Oryzias latipes: one gene and its partners. The protein of the gene in region 2 interacts with the protein of the main gene of each other region in a pairwise test. Links are inferred from orthologs where the notes say so. Each region holds a gene or a part of one and is shown on either strand. Other genes may lie near its edges. The genes, in order: rcbtb2, fars2, agtrap, mid2 and appl1.

Region 1 (4,373 bases), on a different chromosome or scaffold from region 2:
GCACCCTTTGTATTTTTGTTTTTTTACAAAAATAAAATATGCTAATCGGTTAACAGCCAGACACTAGACTTCAAACTGAAATAGCCTAATTACAAAAAACACACACACACACACACACAAAAACCCTAATAGTTATTTCAAATATTAAATTGAAACACTTTAAACTTAACCTTAGAAATGTAACATTACTTTTCTAAGTAAGTCAAGACTGTTTTCCTTTACAGAAAATATTCATGGAAACTGTGCCACATCATGGGTCTTGTAAAGACAGACATTTCTCAGAATTCACTGTCCAGGGCTCCACCTAATGGAACTTATTCATGACTGCGTTTTAGGGGAAACCAACAAACAAATAAACTACCTTTAAAACAGTAGCCTATAGATAAAATTCCACAATATAACAAGTGTCAGCCTATTGGATATCAAGAATAAGATAAATATTCTCTTTTACTTATATTTAAATTGATATTTTTTTTAAATAAGGCCAAAAATATAAAAATAATCAGGTTGTTTTTGCACTCATTTGTCTGATTGACTCTTGTACACCACAGGACGCATCATTATTGAGATAAAAATGAAAACAAATGAATGTTTTACTGCAGGTCTGACACTACAAATCAAAATAGGGATTTAAAACTTAAAAATGAAGAGAGTTAAGTTGGTCTGAAAATAATCCCAATTTAATAACCTTTGTACAGTCTGGAACAGGCACAGTGGAAGGCTCTGGCTCAAATCCTGGCTGGGACCTTTCTGTGTGAAGTTTGAGTGTTCTCCCCGTGCATGCAGGGGTTCTCTCTGGGCACTTCCTCAAAGTGTCCCTTAGTGTGCATGTATGAGTGTGTGTTGGAGTGATTGTGGCCCTGTGACAGACAAGCGACCTGTCTGGGGCGTACCCCACCTTCGCCCTGGGACAGACTGCGGCGACCCCATGACCCCGAAAGCAATAGAGTGGGTTGAGAAAATGAAAACTGGAATAAACTGAATGATTGTGTTAGTACAAATTAGATATTCCCACACACTTTTGATCACATCTATAAAAAACTAAATGTAAAGTATTGATTACATTTTGATGACTTGTACAGCAAATGGTCAGCTTTAATGAGGGTAGTTCTGCTGAACTTTACACCCAAGTTTTATTCCCCACTGTCACCCCTTTACGTAGCCCTGGACATTACGTTAAAAATAAGTAAATAAATAGTTTCCTCAAATTAGCAATTTGTGCACACAGTTTGCCAATTTGTAGCCACAAATTAAAATTTTAGTAGCATTTGTGTGCATTGCTTTTTCACAGATATTCCCCCTTTTGAGATAATCTGTTAGGCAATTACATAAAATGGTATTAAAACACAGGTATATTATTTTTGGCCTTTTTGAAATAGTCTGGACCAAACTGAGCAACTGCAGACAATTAATTTGTCTTTTTTATATTGTTTCTGAAGACAAACCATTTTTATGAATAAAATGAAGATCGTAATTTTTTAAGCACAAACTATTACTGGATTTCGTTAAATATGTCCGACTCGTTATTTCAAAACTTCAAATGTGCTTGCAGTTCACCACATTAGCCCTGAATTTCTAAAAATTCCTACTTTCGTAAACGCACCATCCGGCAATGGGAAGTGAACTGACGTTTGTGTGTGTTTTTTTTTCCCAAGCCGTGATGTAGCCTTCAAAGCTAGCTCCTGCAAGGTACAAGCAAAGCTACCCGACCAATGTCCCGCTGCAGATGTCCTTTTTGTAAAAAAAAAAAAAAAAAATGTTTTATTGATTACTATTAAATAGTAAAAAGACCATTACAGACGGAGCTCCAGCTTGGACAACAACAACAAGGTAACGTCAACAGTTTGAGCTATTAGCTGTCCTGTCTTACGCTAATCACCTGTACATTGTTTTTCGTTTGTTTTAAGTAGACTTCAGATTTTTTAATACATATTTGTTTAGGTTGTAGGCGGTGTGAGTTAGATTTATAAAACTAAAAATAACTGAATTGTTTGGACTGGAAGCGATAGTTTAGGAAGGAGTTCATCATGCTAACTAACTACTGCAACTTCCTATCATCGTCGCCCAGCCAGGTGACAGCAGGAGTTAGTTTCATTTACAACATTAGATTTTGCATACCTCTGGAGTTTAATAAAACATAGGCAAACGCTAGTTCGACCTATATTTGCATGTCTCTTATATCCAGTCTAAGGTAGTAGAAAACGGTGCAGAATTTATATTATTATTTCAATCTGAAGTGGGTGAGGTTAAAGCAAGGGGGCATACAGTGTTTTTTTTGTTTGTTTTTTACTATAATGTATTAAAAGTTGCATGAAAACACACTAAATTGCAGACTGAATAGATTGGTACGTGTTGATTTTTTTATTCTTTAATGTGAGCTTGTAGATTTTATTATATATACACATAAGCTTGGATTTGGTCAAAGTTTTATTACAAAAACAAAAATTGAGTTAAAAAAAACAATACATGTGACTTTTTCTTAAATCAAAAGGAACATTTAAAAGTTTTTCTTTCAGATTTTAGTGTAAGAACTTTAAAATTCAGCATAATGTAATGAAAGTTTGTCATTTGTTTCTGTTTGGTCACAATTATGTGAAAAATGTTGCCAAACAGCCCAAAAAAAAAGTTTTAAAAGGGAAACGTGAACAATTCAGCAATAGTTCTTGGGGTTTTGTGGCATTTTGAATCAAATTATACACTTGTGAGCTTAAATTTAAATATTTTAGTATTTTGGTTGTGAGACCTTGCCTTTAAAAGTAAGTATTAAAATGAGATATGCTAATGTGTCGAGCTGTTTTTTTGTTTAATCAACAAAATAAATGTTATGAATTTTAAAAACAAAAATACCAGGGACTTGTTTGTGTGCATAGAACAGTTTTCTTGTTTTGTTTTTTTTAACCAAATTAGAGCAGAAATGAAGTGTAAACATTGTGAAATCAAAATATTCTAATAAAATAGAAATTCCTCAAAGCTTCTTAGATGTAAAATGTTAAAAAATATTGCTGGACGTGCACTCCAACACATTTGAATCCGCTTTTTGGTTCTGATTGATCAAAAACGGTCTGTTTTTGTCTGCTACAGACATAACACAATGGATAGTTTGGGACTGACTGCAACAAAATAAACAAAATATTGACATATTACATTCGTTTTTCAGATCTAAGTGAACCTCTTACGTTTTTATATCATGATGGAAGTTTGTTAAGAGTCAAAAAATGAAAAGTTGTGACTTTTCTGTTATTGGCCTTCCCTGATCCAAGTTTTGTGTCAAATTTTCAAGTTAATACCTAATATGTGGATTTATGTGATAGAAATAAACCACAATACACATTTGGAAGCTCCGCACACTGTTGTCATGTGCTATTCTTCAACACTTTCCCCAGCTTACTGTGGTTTTGGTTTAATTGTGTTTTCTTCTCTCTTCTTAGCTGAGTATTATGCTGGACGTGGGGAAGTGGCCTGTGTTTGCACTCCTTCCTCCAGAGGAGCTACGGCTTATCCGGCAAGCTTGTGTCTTTGGCAGTGCTGCTAACGAAGCTCTTTATGTCACCGTTAACGATGAGGTAACCTTTGGGCTTTAAGCAGGACAGCCTTAATCAGCTGGTTTGAATGGAGGTGTGCGACCAGCCTTCAAAGTGTTGATACTCTTTTATTTGATCAGTTCGTGTTGAGACTTTAATAAAACGAATGCTTCAGGCTTCCCAGTCTCAGGTGATATAATGAGAGTTCACAGCACAGAGATAAGCAGATAGAATGAGGCTATCTTTAGCCATATCGGCCTAATACCCGAGCAACTTCTATTTTTATTCAGTGCAAAGGGGCCGAACTACTTGATGTGTTCATGCCATCTTAGTTATCCATCTGATTGTGCTTTTGTGCAATTGTGTGGGGAATATGAAAGCCATTTTTAGCAAATCTTTAAGCAACTGCAACATTTATTTGTTATATTTCAGTAGAATGTTGTTTTGGGAAGATTTCTTTTTACCATTTAATACATTGTTCCTATCCAGAATGTCATAAATGTGTTGAAATAAGAGATTATAAATAAAGTCATTAAAGAAATTTGACGAAAGGCTTGAATTTTAAGGGGGAAAAAAGTCTAAGTTGATCAACACTTTGAGGATAAAAAGGTCAAATTGAAGTGTTTTTTAAAGATCCATCAAATGAAAGTTATGTTTTTGGTCGTTGGTTTCCGATGATGGTAGTGATAAAAAAAAAATTGAGCTTAAAAATCCAATTCAGAGTATTTCTTGATTCAAATTGTCGTGAATCAGGAGCAGACAAAAGAGCCTATTTGTGATGTAGAAAATACCCAAGGTCCTCTGCTCTGAGCTCTCAGCAATGGGGAGAGGAAGTGGGGCGGGGTTGCTTTG
Region 2 (4,103 bases):
TGCTGAGGTGGTGTGAACGTAGCTCGAGTGGCAAATTACCATCACAAGTGTAAACAGGAGGTCATGAAGGACTACAGCACCTTCAAACAACAGATATGGGATTCCAAAATAATAAAACAGAAATATAGTCCATAAGAGTCCCAGACAGAATAGATGACTAATAGCTTTTATGTACGTATCCCACATCATGAGTTTCACATGAAGACTTTCCATCTGTCAATCACTCATCCAACACGAGGAGGATGACCTGTGGGGGTCTGAGCTCCTCTTAAGGAACATGTTTAACAACAGTCAAAGGGGGGGCAGAAGATGAATGACAGCAAAATAGCCACCATGAAAGGAGACAGCAGGAGATCAGAGATTATCAGCTCCGTCATGTGAGCTTGAAAAGTATTTTGAAAATGAATTCAATCATAGTCTGACTTATTTTGAAGTGATGTTCGAGGAGAGAGAATGCACTCAAAAGATGAAATAAAGTAGCTTCAGATTATCAGTAAAACGTGCAAAACAGAGTTCAGGTCTGTTTCCATAAACTCAAAACCTTTAAATAAAAAGGCTTCTGCATGATTAAAATTGAGATTAAGGCTTTTCAAAGTCGTTATGATCAACAAACTTTCAAAATAAGAGTCCCAAGAAAACAAAACCAGTCAACAATTTGTCAATAAAAACAAAGTTCTTATGAAATTATGAATGGCATTGATTGTACTTTATCATATTCTGCTATAGCATGGCATTACCAAACTCCATTGCTATTATTACCAACGTGCCTTCAAGTGATCATGAGGGAACACCTTAAAATAAGCTTTTTCATTATAATAACCCTGTATAATATTCCAAAGGGAAGAAATGTAATAATGAATAAGGTTAGTTTTGTAACACATGAACTGGTGCAGCAGCAGTCAGGAGAGTTTCGTAAACTCTGCAGCAGCTCATCAATGATCAAAACACAGGCGTTAGCAGGCACTTTCCTCCTTTGACAGCCGGAGCACAGCGGCCATGAGCCCCGCTGAACCCGGCTTCAGTCCGCCTCTTACCTGTAGTTGTAGGAAGGAAACCTGCTGCTCTCTTTCAGCATCATTCTGTACAAAGACAGCACCTGGGCTCGAGCAGACGCTGCCATGTTCATGCTACCGACGCTGTTCGGTCCCTGCGATGAAGGACCCTTACTTAAGAGCGACCAACTAGCGCCAGTTTAGAAATCCAAAGTCTAGGCTGTTTGTCATTATTTTCGTATGTTACATTATAATAAGTTTGATAAAAGAACGTCATTTATTAAATAACACACAGCATAAATATGCATATTTATTTTTGAAACATGTTCATAATCCAAGAGTCATGCAGGCGCGCTTCCGCATACCTCACAAGAGTTGAAAGCTGAAGTGTGACAGAAGGTGAGTTAGCATTGCTAATTTTAACCTCTAAAATATATTACTTATATAATAAGAAGACCTTTTCTAAGGTGTCGGTACAAAATTCGATATTATAGTGCAGGAATAAGAATCATTAATTGTGAAAATGTGTTGCTTGTCGGGTTTAAAAAGCTCCTTTTGTATTTGTGAGGTTCTGCAGCAGATCATACTTGACAACAGGCAGCTTCAGCTGTTGTCAGGTGTGTGTTTATGTGTGGGTGTGCACGCGCGAACGTGGGTCTTTTTTTAGGTCAGGGATTCTTTAACAGGAAGTGTGTGACCGCACAGAGTCCTGCTCTGGACCCTCCCTGTATGACCCTCTTGATCAGGACTGTCAATCTTTGGTCATTTGTTTATGTTTGGTAGTTTTATAAATACAACACAGCTAATAAGTCAGGGATATTATCATTTACATTCGGTTTCTCCTTTTTGGTTTGAATTTGAATGAAGTACGATAAAGTTACCTTTATTCATTCATCTTCTAAACCCGTTTTGCCCCTTTTGGGGTCACATGGCTGCCAGAGCCTTTCCCGGCCACTCGTGGGCGAAGGCAGGGGACACCCTGGACAGGTTGCCAGGGCCACAAATCACACACCATGCACACTCACATTCACACCTAGAGACATTTTAGAGAAGCTAATGTACCTATGAAGCATGTTTTTGGGTTTTTGGACTGTTGGAGGAAGCTGGAGTCCCCGGAGAAAACCCACACACGCACACACAGGGAGAACATGCAAACTCCACACTAAGTCCCCTTTAATATTACTAATAATGAATGAGATGAAACATCATTTTCATTAGTTTGATATTTATAACCCCAAAATTAAGCCAATAAAAAAGTATTAAATGGTGGGTATTTCCACCATTTGCCACTAGGGGTGTGACTATGGAGAGAAATTAGACTCAGTCGGATTTGTGCGTGCGTAATTCTTGATTTGTGCGTAAATTAGGATTTGTGTATGCATATTCTTGCTTTGTGCGTGCGTAAATTAGGATTTGTGCATAAATTTGGATTTGTGCGTGATTTGTTACTCACATAACACGTTTTGTGTATAAGTTAAAAAAATATAAAATGAAAAAAATACAAAATGCAATTTACGTATGCACAAAATAAGATTACAACAGCTTGAAACTACTTACACACACACATCTTTAAAAAAACACGCACGAATCCCTTGTTACGCACACACAAAGCCAAAGTTACGCACGGATCTACCGTGAGACTGTTTTCACGTCTCACAAATTCGTCCGTAAGTGCTGCGTTTAAATACCAGTGGAATGCTCGGTCATTAGAATTTTCCGATCAGCCTTCCCTTCCCAAACACACCTGCCTTTGATGACTGTCAGGCTTCTGCAGAGCCTGATGATGAGCTTAATCAGGTGTGCATAAGCAGAGCAACATGGAAAACATGCAGGACAGTGTGACTCATGGACCAGGGTTGGGAAACACTGATGTAGTGGTGGGGTACTGTCATCCATTCTCTGTTTCAGCTGGTTCCAGACATCCTCTATGGGGTTCAGGTCAGGGGTCATTGATGGCCATACCATACGACACACTCCTGCTTACTGAAGTCCAGCTGTGACAATTCTAGCACCATGTGGTGGAGTCTTCTCATCCATGAACAGAAAGTTGGGGGATGATAATGTTTCTGTAATGTCCCTGAAGTCTAGGTCATTGTCCAGGTCACATGGTTTTGTGCAAACCTTCACGGTGGTGTCTTGGTGTCAGTGGAGTCCCCTGCAACAGTCGTCTATCATTCCAGTAAAAGTGGTGGAGTTGGTTAGTCTGGAAACCCTGGTACCCCTCACATCTGGTAAACGGCCTGCAGCTGTGTGGTATTTACAAAACTATGTCTGAAGTCAGAAGTCCTTAGGTTCTGGTCATGGTTGTGGTCTGTCAATGACGGGGCTCCACTCCTGTCTGTCACAAACTCTGACAGTAGTTCAGAGTGAAAATCTGCTGAAGACACTTTGAGATTCACCAAGTTCACCTGCAACAGCTGACTTTCTCCTACCAGCCTGAAGGTGCTGTGGACAGGCAGTGCTGCTCAGACATTGAGTGACATCGTGTTTATAGCTGTTTGAATGATGAACCTGAAATCATTTACTGACTAAATCAGCTTTTTATACCTACAGAATGTTGACATTGATGCCTCATTGAAAATACTTTTCTTTCAGATACTTTTTTTGGCTTTCGCTCCAGTAAGTGACACATACTGTACACATGAGACCATGATATGGAAAACACTAAATGAGTTGTGTCTATAATCACCCCAATACAATTACCGCCCTATCCCCAATATCCCTAACTTATTGAGTAGTGTACTTCTTAAGGAAAACTTAAATAGGATAAAAGAATATTGTAAACCACATTTCATGCTGTTTTTCTTTTTGGATTAGTGTTTGATACTTGACTTTAGGGCTGGAAAGACTCCTATTGGGGTCCTGTTGACTCATTTCATTAGTTCTGCCTTTAGTTTTATCAAGTTGGGAGGAAATAGCTCCTCCCACATGTCCAAATATGGTTGTTTCTGTCTTTTCAAGCATTAGCATTAAAATAAATTCTTCGTTTTGTGACATCATTGTGGCCGCGCTCGGTCTTCTGCAGAGTCTTTTAGAAGTATTTCTGCGCATTTGTGTGCATGTGTGTTTGGACAGTATGCTCCTCTGCAGTGGATGTCTAAAAGGTCAGAT
Region 3 (3,257 bases), on a different chromosome or scaffold from region 2:
ATTTGGTTTAAAAAAGGCTAAAATATGATTTTTTTTAAAATGTCAAAAATGTTTTAAACCAACAGAATAATGAGAGCTGCAAACATCCTAAAAACTGCTAAATTCAAACTAGATCAAATCCTAAATGATCTTCATAAAGGTTTAAAGGTTACATTATCAAAAACCGCCGTCATGTCGGAGTTTTGGAAAGAGAGAAATGTCAAAAATGTAGTAAATAAAGAATATCTAAGCCAAATCATTTACTCAAAATATAAACATTTGTTTTGAAAAATAATAAAAGAAAGAAAAACCAAAACGAAAAGCAGGAATCTCCAGGTTTCACAGAATAAAAGCCGTAAATGTTGTCAAACGGCTCCATTGAGAAAAACGGATGAGTTATTCGCTGAGACGCTAAGCACGCTGGGAAATGGAGTGTTTCTGTGTTGGGATGTGCAGAGCGGCAGATGTGTTTGTGCAGCATCAACATTACTGAAGTGTTTCCGTTCTGGTCCAAGGATTCAAACCCCAAACGCTGAGTTTTCGGTCAAACATTTATTTCAGTTTGTTAAAGCAAAGAGTTTCTGCAAAATAGTCATAAAATACTGCAAAAAGGTACGACTATAACTCACAGAACTGTCTGTAACCGTCTGTAAATGCCACGTAAAAAATAATCTACTTGACAGCTTGACTGGAATCGCGTTGGTAACAGCAGACGAGCAGCAGGAGGTTCAGATTTCCTCCTGAAAACACGACATTCACTGGAAGATGAAGAGTTCACCCCAAGTATTTATTCACCAGAAGGATTTGTGGGGTTTTGCACACATTCGTCGCCCGTCGCTGCATATAAAGTCAGAGAGAAGGCTGCGCGGTTGGCGTCCGGCGGCGCTCAGTACGTGCGGACTCCTGGTCGGGTGGTGTCCTGGGCCTGGTTGAAGGGGTTTGGTGGGCTGGACGACTCGTCCTGCTGGTCGATGGACTGATAGGCTTCTCTGTTCCGTGATACCGAGGGAAAACCTGCAGGGAAGCAGCAACAAGGCAGCGAAAAGGCGTTATTTGGAAATATTACCCTCATTCAAACAATCTGGTCTTTGGACTCCGGCTTTTTGCTGAAATCTAGAAACATTTTTGCTAGAGTTTCATCATTTTTAATTCCACTTCCTCCCACAGACTTCTCTTTCTTTATTCTAGTATCTTTCTACAATTTTTCATCTATTTTAACCATTCAACTATTCAAATGTTCAGCTATTTCATCTTTTTCCAGCTGTGATTTTTGCTCCTTCAAATCCTTGAACTTTTCCAGATATTCCAGGATTTCTGCCTCCATTGAAATAAAGGGGAATCCTTGGAGCAGAAGCTCGCTGGTTCGATACCCGGCTCTGGCATTTTTCACAAATATTTTTTTGTTATTGTGCTGTTTTCACTTTATTTATGATCAACTTTGATCATTTATTTATTTACTCTTTTTTTGTTTTTTGACAAATGTTATTCTTTAAGTTTCATTTTCATTCAGCAGTATAGCATCAACCCTGCTGTTTCTTCTGGAAATGCAGCTCCTTCTAATAAACTCTGTTTTTGTGGCGGACGTTCCAGAGCTGCATGAACACCTGAGACTCTGCTCAGAATATGAATGCTGCATGTTTGAAGGGTTTCTGAGTCATTTATGCGCATGCAACTGCTTCCCATTAACTTTCAATTATGAGCCAACCTTATTTGGATTTTAATTAGGCTCATTTCAGAGTCGTACATACAAGGAAACCCAAAAACACACAACACACGAACACAAATGAGGCGTCTGGAGACCATCTCTGAATAAAATATCAGTAATACTTGCAGACATAAACACCAACAGAGAGCCTAAAACGGTAATGAGGACAGGTGAGAAGGGCCTCACGGAAACGAAATGTTGGTTTTGCTTCTTTAAACCACGTCGTGCTCCCGAATGAGCCGACGCCGCATGACGGCAGGACGGCCGTCTCAGCTCAGCAGCTCATTTAGTGCTGCAGCCCCCCTGGTGCCAACATGCAGTCCCAACACAGACTCTCTACAGAGGAGAACCTCTGTTGGTGCAGCTCAGCCAGAACATTCACAGAAGGGATGGATCAGAACTTCAACACGACAGAAGGGAAAGAAAAGCATCTTTCTCCCGTTTGTCCTGCAGTCTGATCACAAAGCTTACTTCCGGGCTGAAGCAGGACCGAAGAGGACGACCCGGGGAGGGAACTGATAGAAAGGGGGAAGCCGGCGATCAATAACGGCGGCCAAAAAAGGCACTGTCGGCACTGTCCGTAGTGCAGCGACTGTCCACTGAGGTCTCTAAATCTGAGGGTTCGAGGGAAAGCGGTGGAGGAGAAAGAACAGAAACAAACCATCAAAACGTGCAGAAACACAGGAAACAGCATGACAGCCAAACAAAGACATGGAAAACAGACGACAAGGCAAACGCAGGAGCCGCAGGAAAGCTCACCTGACAGGCAGAAGACGGACTTTTCACCACATTCTGACCAAACTAAGCTGCTGCGTTTGCATTGCTGTTGGCGTCTACAAAGGTCTCAGGTAGGGGTGTGACGATAACCTCATCACCGCGGTGATGACCTCATCACAGCACCTTTTTTTAATTTGAAAGTTTTTATTATTTTTTTTCTGAAAGTTCTGCATATGATGATTGGAACTATAATTAAACACGTTCATCTTTGCTGATAATTTACTTTTTCTAGTCCTGTGTTCAGACTTCAAGGGTTTCTGGGGGGAACCTTTCATTTCTGTTTTCCTTCACTCCCTCTACGCTGCACGCGCTCACTCTACTCACACACACACACACACACACACACACACACACACACATGAGGTTTCAGCAGCACACACATCCTCATTCTACAACAGAAATTTCCTTCTCGCGAGGAAATACGACAAATTTACTGCGTTCTAATCATTAATTTCCATTGTATTCATTTCCATTACAAGCTGGGTGCGTTCTTGAGTGCGCGACATAGACGCCCGCCGGAGGATTTTGTGTTGGGGGGGGGGGGTTGTTACTGTTCTCCTTCACTCTGTAACACCAAACATGAACGTGCACCGTTAGATTTCCATGAATATCACTACATGTTTTGTTTGCGTAACGTTACGTGTCTGTATGAACAAAGGCGGAGCCTCCTGCCCGCGTTCTTCATGGATGTCAGGCTTCATGGCTACCAGAAAGGTGACAAAGTGTCTGCAGTCTGTTTATTACTGAGCAATATATAATATTCTGAGAAGATGTCCGTACCAGAGAGCACAGGTGA
Region 4 (4,277 bases), on a different chromosome or scaffold from region 2:
GCCAGTTTAACATTTGTTTTTTTTCACATACCATTCATCACAAGCAAAATGAACAACATATTAATATTTAGAAATTATAAAAATACAGTTTGAATTAATATGTAAACCAACCTGTGTGTTAGACTATAAAACAAAGCATTAATGTGTCTAGATGGAAGGTAGCCGGTGTTAGAGGATGCAGACAGGGTTAGATGGAGGAAGCTTATTCGCTGTGGCGACCCCTGAAGGGAAGGAAAAGAAGAAGAATTTGGATGGGATTTTAAAAAAACAAATTGTCCACCCAAAGCTCTTGTGGTCTAGAGAAATATTTCATGAGGATGTTTTTCATATTCTGACACAGCTTTGATGTTAGTCACACTGCAGGATGGTTTACTGCTCTATAAGAGCAGCTCCACATAAATAGATGCAGTATTACAAAATATTTATTTGTGAGTTTGTGGTTTTGCACAATTTGCACACTTTTATTCAACCTTAAATAAGGGATTGAAAAACTCAATGCATGTTTTGTGTCACAAAAGCTGAGGAGTCCCTGTAAAGCTTCTAATGTTGAGCAAGTCATACTGACAGGCTCCAAATGCTCTGCCCTGGAGTATTTTATAGCTTCATTTTGTGTGTTTATATGTTTACATAAAAAGTTTGCAGGTTACGGAAAAAAATATAAAACAATGGACAATACAGGCTTGTGCTGTTTGCAGCCCTTCAGGCTAATTGCAGTTCTGAAATGCAGTATAACTGTTTTACAGAGAAGGCCTGTGAGACAAAGAAAACTGTATTTTGGCTTGCTTGTGGGGATAAAGTTGCAAGGTTGGCAAGTCTCCCCTGCTAATCCTGTGGCCTCCAGCATGTTGCAAAGATAGTCTGTCCCAAATACATGCAGTAGGTCAGTTTAACATACATTTCTGCTCAGATATTTTGCGGTCTCTGACAATAAATCTGGAGGGAAAATTTGATGTTTCTTTCTTTTTTTTTAAATTATTGCATAAGCAAAAGGTAAATTTTTACCTTTTTAAAAAAGTATTGGAAAATAAAATATTTTGTGAAATTGCTCTTGTAGTATAATTGGTCTCCAGTTGGGAGTTATTTTTACTAAGTGGGCATTGTCTGTGTCATGGCAAGATTGTAATTCATTTTTAATAACGACCATGTGTTTTTTTTTTTAATCCACAATTTGAATAAAATAAATAAATGGGTTAAAAATAAAAGGACATATTTTTAGTATCTATAGTTCTTTGGAAATCTATAAAGACTGCACTGTTGAAAGTGAACAGAAATGACAGCGACGCCGTGAGGCCACGCGGGAGGAGAGCGCGGGTGGAGCAAAAGAGACGTTGTGCGCACAGCTCGGGGTTTTCACAGTGGAGCAGTGGAGTAACCGATCCCAGATGCTGCCGTGAGGGATCGAGAGCTATTCCCGTATCCCTGTGGGTTGCCCACGTGACTCCTCGGGGATTGTTTGGTGTGGGGACCACGTCAGGCGGCAGGGAGAGCGCGCAACGTTGCGCGCAACTGAGTTGGAAAGCAGCACCCAGAAGAGGAAGACGCGCTCTCGCTCCTCCGGCGGCTCGTCATCCAGATGTGTTTTGGGGCGTTGACTCTCGTCTCTCACCCACTCTGATGCTCAGTCGCACCTTTGTCCAAACTTTCCGTCCAGGATCTGTGATCTTCTCCAACTGTTCTTCCACGAGGGTCCATCCAGAGCTGTCACGGGGGGCGGAGGTAAGCTGCGCGTCTTTGTTGTGTTTATTTTTGGTGGAGTAGCCTCAGGACAACGTGCGCTGAAGGATAAGCGCTGACTGAAGCATCCGTCAATGCGCGAAGGGCGCGTTCTGTTCTAATGACCCACATCCATGGAGGAGGGGGGGGGGGGGCAGAATGAAAAACAAGCAGAGCATGACTGACCATCTCATTCTGTTTTAAATGAGGTGTGCCACTTTTACACCACAAGCATTTTTTTTTTGGAGAGTCAGGAAACTGTTTCTACAAGATTTTGTGGGCATTATTTTGAGTTTCTTTTATGCACATTTCATGCACACCACACGTATCCTCTGTGGTATTGCATAGCATTTCAGGAACCAAGGCAGCCACCATAACTGACACCTGATCCGGGAGCCTGATGTCAGTGAGACGCTTTGTTTGAAGAACACTCAAAAAAGCTGGGAATAGCTCCTGGAGTGTGACATGAATACATTTCACAATAGATTACAACTCAGTTAAAAACTGAAATTAATTACCATAATTTTTAGAGTCACATTTTTTGTTATTGACACAATTTTTGTTATGGTTTGGCAAAGGGTGCTACTTATATCAACCTTTTCCTCTTTATTAGGCATTTTTTGGCTGCTGTGACTTAAACTGTGAAAAATGTAGTAAAGTACGTTTTTTGTTTTGTTTTCTCATTCCTAGTGACATTAGGGAGAAAGTGGCACAGCGGCAGAGTGTAAAATGTCAATGGGCAGCAACTGATCAATAATGAATGAGTCAAAACAATGCAGGGCAGGGAAAGAGGGGTCAACTGTCACGAAGTGCTGCTTGTCCCTTTTTTCACCAAGGCTACCCATTGATTCAATAGAAACCAATACATTAGTGACACAATAAAACCAAGTGCTGTGTCTGTTGCTGGGGAATTCAGCGGCACATTTGATGAAGTGGTGTTTCACAGTCTTTTAAAGTGATTTATGGTCCCCTGCACTCTTTTCTTGCTCTGTGGTTAATGCACGATCAAAGTGGCTAATGAGGCAGGTCTCAGTGGATGGGGGCTCGACACCCAAATGCAGTCGAGCTAGTCGTGAGAGTATAGCTGACACCCTCATTCATCATGGTTCTACAGGCCTGCTCTTTCCAATTTATCTGCTTTTTTTTCCTTCCCCCTTTACGCTCTTAGATGGTAATTATTATGATGTTTTAATGATGACAACAGTAGTCACTTTTTTGTGACAGGGACAGGGGTGTCTGTCAGTTGACACGCAACTAGAATTTTGCAGCTGCAGAGGATTCCATGAATAGAACTGAGAGGTACATGTTAGACTGTGTGTCTTAGCTGGCATTGCTCACACAGAACCAAAAAAGAAAAAAAGAAAAAATTTAATTCTTAAGGAAAAAACAAGTCTTCAAAAAGTACTGTTTTTTTTCTGACTATAAGACGCTCCAGGGTACATGCCACAGCAGCCAAAAAGTGCCTAGAAAAAAAGAAACGATCATATATAAGTCACACTTTTGAGAGAATTTAATTAAACAAAATACAGAAAAGGGATCTTAATCTTGAAAGGCAAATCCTATTTGCAGCAAAATTTCACTGTACTTGTACAATGACAATAAAGCTATAACTTTGATGACTTCTTTTCAATTTTTATAATGGAATGGATAACAGTAATAGTCAAAATATCTGTACACTTCACTACCATAATACATTGATTCCTATTTAGCTTCATGAAACATAGGAGTAGTTTAGAATAGCCCAACATATGAACAATTATTCAGATAACCATATCATAAAGAACATGCTAACAAGTCATTTAAACTCTTTATATTACTTCAAATGACTAAATCCGTTCAATTCTTCATCCTCTGTTTCACTTTGGAACAATTCTGCTTAGCCCGGCGTAAGACTGAATGACTCTTCTTCCTCTCTGATGTTGTCAGTAGCAAATACTGATACACACACCTACAGTGCCTTCTAGCTGTTGTGCATTTTTTCTTTTTTTTAAAAACACATATAAGTCACAACTGAGTATACTTTGCACCCCCGCCCAAATACATGCAAAAAAAATGCGATTTATACTCCAAAAATAGGGTATATGTATTATTTATTTTTTAAGATTAAAAAGAAAGAAAAAATTAACTTGTATAGTTGCTAAACTAACTCTTATCACCTTAAATGCCCAATATGATCTTCAGTGGCTATCATTTTGCTATTAATTTTTAATGTTTCAAGCTTTAAATAATGTAAAATGTTCTGGGTAATAATAAAAGCTGTGTTTAGCTGAAAGAGAGCTCAGTCTGTTGTTGATACACAAGAGTGTCATCAGCATAGAAATAGAAATGTTATTTGACTTTTAGTCCTTTTTTTTAATTATAATTTGTGTTTTTAAAACTCACACATAAGAACCTGGATCAATTTTTTCATCAAGTAACTGAAAGTTTCAAATATGCTTCAAAGAAATTCTAAAAAAGTTTTTAGTAAGTTTGAGTCATGGCATCTCAACGTAAAATCTTCTTCCTTTCACCACTCATGCTAGTGGCTTGACTGGTCTGACTACTTTCTTTTCCTTTCCTTTCCT
Region 5 (3,698 bases), on a different chromosome or scaffold from region 2:
CCTCACCTTAAAAGAAGTCTTCCAGATCTCCAGTGATGGTAAGTTTTCCTTTCTACCCTGAAGTCATTAAATGTATTTAAGACATGATTAAACATCTGCTGTTTATACAGTAAAGCATTCATAGCAGCTGAATGGTGTCTTGCTTTCATAATTATTGTAACAATAAGAGAAACTCTTCATATTTTGTGTTTAGATTAGGAAAATGAAGTTTGTGGCTTTTTATCTGTGAAGCATAAATTCCACTTTGTTTTAGTTTTTTGGATATAAGTGTTTTTTGTTTCCTTCTGCAGATCACGACACCGCCATCAACCGGTACAGCCGTCTGTCCAAGAGGAGAGACAACGACAAGGTAACCAGCTCTGACGCTGAAACGCTCCTCAAATCAACCTTTGGGTCGATGATGAGAACCTGGGGCTTGAAAAGCTTTCATGAAAACAGGAAGTTTCTCATTTGACTAAAAGATACAAAAGAGCATCTCAACGGTTTAGGGGTTTTTGGTGAGTTTGGATGATTTCGACTCACAGATATTTTTGTCAGAGGTGTGGACTCCAGTCACAAATGATGACTTTAGACTTGACCAAATAGAGAAAGACTTGCAACTGGACTTGGATTTTAACAGCAGTAACTCGTGACTTCACTTGGACTTGAACCTTCTGACTGGAAAAGACTTGTTACTTTCCCCACCAGTCGAAGCTTAAAAAGTTTGGCCCCACGGACCGCTGTCTTTGTGTTTGGGTGCATCTGTGTGTGCTGTCCATCCAACCAATTAGGTCCACATTATTTTGATCCAACGCCATCCAACCCATCAAACTGCAGGACGACCAACGAAGACGAAGTGTCAAACAGGGCGCCGGTTTCTGTTCGCCAAAAGGATTCCTGCGGTTATTACGTTTAGGAATAAAGATGATGAGAAGATAACAGACTGAGGCTCAACGATGGTCAACGTCGTCCATCACTCCAGGTTTGCTCAAAGATCAGTAAATCCTGAATGGAAGCTAACGCTAGCTTAAGGGCTATGTAGCTGCTAGCTGCAGTTAAATCAATGAGACGGAAAACTCGCTGTTGAGACTAAAGTGCAAACATGGTAATCCGGGTTTTATTGAAGAAATGGTTTGGGACTTTTGAAGTGGGATTACATGAGCTAAAGAGGAATATTGTTGATAAAGTTTCTATTACTCTGTTGTTAAAAGGACTTGAAACATTCAACAGTAGGACTTGGACTTGAGACTCGACTCTGGACTTGAGGACAAAGTCTTGTTACTTGCATGTGACTTTCAGATCAATGACTTGATGCCACCTCTGCTCTTTAGCTTCAGTCCGAGTCCTCTGTGGACGTGACGGCGTTTCTCCCTAACAGCTGACGTTCATTTATGGTGGATGGTTTCCTTTCTCCATTAAAGTCCACTTTCACTGAGGCACGACTGCTTTAGCTAAATGTCTGTGGAGCCGGAACGGCATCGGACCGCGTCAGAGCAGAACCGGACCAAGCGGTAACACCTGCTGGTGCGGTCGTGCACCGTCCGTCTGCTACAGGTGCGGGCGGAGGCGGTGGAGGACGTCTACACGTCGCGGAAGAAGCAGCACCAGACCATGATGCACTACTTCTGCTCCCTGAACACGCTGCAGTACAAGAAGAAGACGGCTCTGCTGGAGCCGCTCCTCGGCTACATGCAAGCTCAGGTAGAGGTGCTCGCTCGGGGGGGCGGGGTTCATCTGATGACCTCGCTCTGACGCCACGCATTCGTCTGTGGTGGAGCGTCTAAAGTGACTGCCGCCCGCTGAAGAATGGTTGAGTGTGAAAGAAATTAAGAAGGACTATTTGATGAAGCTTTTTGATGCAAAACCTGATAGAAAGTGGATAAAACATCTGGATCAGCCTTCTAATGAAGTTTTAGTTTGTTCTTAGGAATTCAATGTTTGAAGAAAATGCTATGAATGAGTTCTAAAGGTGAAAAAAGTAACAAATACATGAGTAGAGATGTTCTGAAACATTCTGCTGTTGCATTGGTGTCTCCCTGTTTGGAGGGAGCCTGCCTCCTCCTGCATCCAGCTGTGGTCCGTCCTGCTCCTCATCCCGGATCTGCTGTCCTTTTCAGATCAGTTTTTTCAAGCTGGGCTCCGAAAACCTCAGCCAGCAGTGGGAGGACTTTCTGGGAACCATAGGAACCAGCGTCCAGAAGTAAGTGCGATCTTCCTCTCGGAACACTCCTCCTCCCTGAGACCAAGGTGACGGGCAGTTTGTGCTTTCATGGGCAGCGTGCGGCGGGAAATGGAGGAGGAGGTGGGGCAGATGCAGCAGACCATTCAGCAGATGGAGCGATCATGTGACCCCCTGTATGCGCCCTGTGACCCAGACCCCGCCCACTCACCCGTTTGCCGAAACCTGACCAGGAAGCAGGGCTACCTGTACATCCGCAAGTAAGACGCCGTTCAGCTCGGCTTTCTTTTAGAAGAGCAGGAACCTCTTTGGATTGGTTCTCGCTCGTGTTCTTTCCTTCTGTGTTTAAACTGTTTCCCTTCCAGTCTTTTTTACAATCTTTGTTTCGGTTCTGGTGTCAGCCGTCGACCCAAAACCTCAATTATAAATCCAAAAATAACAAAAACAGGATAACTGTTACATCCGTGCTTTAAGCCTTAGGTTTGATTGGAAAACCTGTTTTACATGAACGAGATTCTACACAAAAAGAGCGTCGTGGATTGGTTTATCAGTTCAGAGCTAGGAATTTCAATTTAGTTATCAATTAACCTGAGATTATGAACCATTATGAATTTAACAAGACATTGGGGGACTTTGGAGAAAAGCCCAAATTCAGCAGAGCGTACCTGTGGTGACCTCAGGCATCAGATACCTGCAGCACGGAGGGGAAAGCTCCTGCCAGAGCTGCAGCTGCGTGTGTCAGCTGGAATCTTGGTTAGTGAGAGAACGCTGGTTCTGTCTTCAGTAAAACGGGCCTGGTGTCGTCGTCCTGGGAGCGTCAGTACTTCTTCACGCAGGGCGGTAACCTCATGCAGCAGGGCCGGGCTGAGGTGGCGGGCGGGTTGGTCACCGATCTGGACAACTGCTCCGTCATGGCCGTCGACAGCGACGACCGCCGCTTCTGCTTCCAAGTCACGTCGTTTGACGGCAAAAAGTGAGCGGACGACTTTTGAAAAGCTTTGCGGGCCGTTCTGCTGCAGGTTTGAGCGTTTCCGTCTGTGTCCCTGCAGAGTGGTGACGCTGCAGGCGGAGAGCAGGAGGGACTGCGAGGAGGTAAGAAGCCGCTCCCTCCTCTGCTCTGTGGTTTTCTGGATGCTTCCTCACGCCCCGTCTCTGCTGCTTCCTCCAACAGTGGGTCGCCACCATCAACAACATCTCCAAGAGGATCTACCTCAGCGAAAACGCAGAGGTCAGAGTTCAGCTGTTTGCCGTCAGGTTGCCTCTGTGAAGCCTGAACTGTGTTCTGAACAGCAGCGGGTCCTCCGGCTGAAGCTCTGATGGGCAGAGCTGACTCTGCTCAGCAATTGTAGAAAAAACTGTTTTTCTGGCAGGAGGTGGCGGCCAGAGTGAACCAAACGGCCCTGGAGGCGGTGACGCCGTCCCCGTCTTTCCAGCAGAGACACGAGAGCATGCGGCCCAGCAGGTGAGACGGGAGGGTTTGTTTAGGGGCAAAACGGGCCTCCGTTGAAGTTCTTTCAACGTTGTGAAAGCTTCAGAGCTG

What was found.
Region 1: the proteins of fars2 (region 2) and rcbtb2 interact in binary tests that used the Homo sapiens proteins (3 or more experiments, as listed by UniProt). The two-hybrid records come from large-scale screens. The link is inferred for Oryzias latipes from reciprocal best matches to the Homo sapiens genes FARS2 and RCBTB2.
Region 3: the proteins of fars2 (region 2) and agtrap interact in binary tests that used the Homo sapiens proteins (3 or more experiments, as listed by UniProt). The two-hybrid records come from large-scale screens. The link is inferred for Oryzias latipes from reciprocal best matches to the Homo sapiens genes FARS2 and AGTRAP.
Region 4: the proteins of fars2 (region 2) and mid2 interact in binary tests that used the Homo sapiens proteins (3 or more experiments, as listed by UniProt). The two-hybrid records come from large-scale screens. The link is inferred for Oryzias latipes from reciprocal best matches to the Homo sapiens genes FARS2 and MID2.
Region 5: the proteins of fars2 (region 2) and appl1 interact in binary tests that used the Homo sapiens proteins (3 or more experiments, as listed by UniProt). The two-hybrid records come from large-scale screens. The link is inferred for Oryzias latipes from reciprocal best matches to the Homo sapiens genes FARS2 and APPL1.

The regions. Positions count from the first base shown.
Region 1 is NC_019871.2:7,144,460-7,148,832, forward strand, and holds the start of rcbtb2 (RCC1 and BTB domain-containing protein 2), read left to right. Parts: upstream 1-1,490; 5' UTR 1,491-1,830; intron 1,831-3,428; 5' UTR 3,429-3,437; coding exon 3,438-3,563; intron 3,564-4,373.
Region 2 is NC_019878.2:3,840,839-3,844,941, forward strand, and holds the start of fars2 (phenylalanine--tRNA ligase, mitochondrial), read left to right. Parts: upstream 1-1,303; 5' UTR 1,304-1,391; intron 1,392-4,103. Other genes in the region: lyrm4 (LYR motif-containing protein 4), read right to left, coding at 1,035-1,126. UniProt on the Homo sapiens protein: Is responsible for the charging of tRNA(Phe) with phenylalanine in mitochondrial translation.
Region 3 is NC_019863.2:32,256,428-32,259,684, forward strand, and holds the end of agtrap (type-1 angiotensin II receptor-associated protein), read right to left. Parts: intron 2,299-3,257; exon of another isoform or gene 2,156-2,298; intron 994-2,155; coding exon 866-993; 3' UTR 513-865; downstream 1-512. UniProt on the Homo sapiens protein: Appears to be a negative regulator of type-1 angiotensin II receptor-mediated signaling by regulating receptor internalization as well as mechanism of receptor desensitization such as phosphorylation.
Region 4 is NC_019868.2:12,829,877-12,834,153, reverse strand, and holds the start of mid2 (probable E3 ubiquitin-protein ligase MID2), read left to right. Parts: upstream 1-1,342; 5' UTR 1,343-1,716; intron 1,717-4,277. UniProt on the Homo sapiens protein: E3 ubiquitin ligase that plays a role in microtubule stabilization. Mediates the 'Lys-48'-linked polyubiquitination of LRRK2 to drive its localization to microtubules and its proteasomal degradation in neurons.
Region 5 is NC_019863.2:32,577,455-32,581,152, reverse strand, and holds part of appl1 (DCC-interacting protein 13-alpha), read left to right. Parts: coding exon 1-38; intron 39-290; coding exon 291-349; intron 350-1,533; coding exon 1,534-1,680; intron 1,681-2,096; coding exon 2,097-2,179; intron 2,180-2,256; coding exon 2,257-2,418; intron 2,419-2,942; coding exon 2,943-3,131; intron 3,132-3,207; coding exon 3,208-3,250; intron 3,251-3,329; coding exon 3,330-3,386; intron 3,387-3,528; coding exon 3,529-3,620; intron 3,621-3,698. UniProt on the Homo sapiens protein: Multifunctional adapter protein that binds to various membrane receptors, nuclear factors and signaling proteins to regulate many processes, such as cell proliferation, immune response, endosomal trafficking and cell metabolism.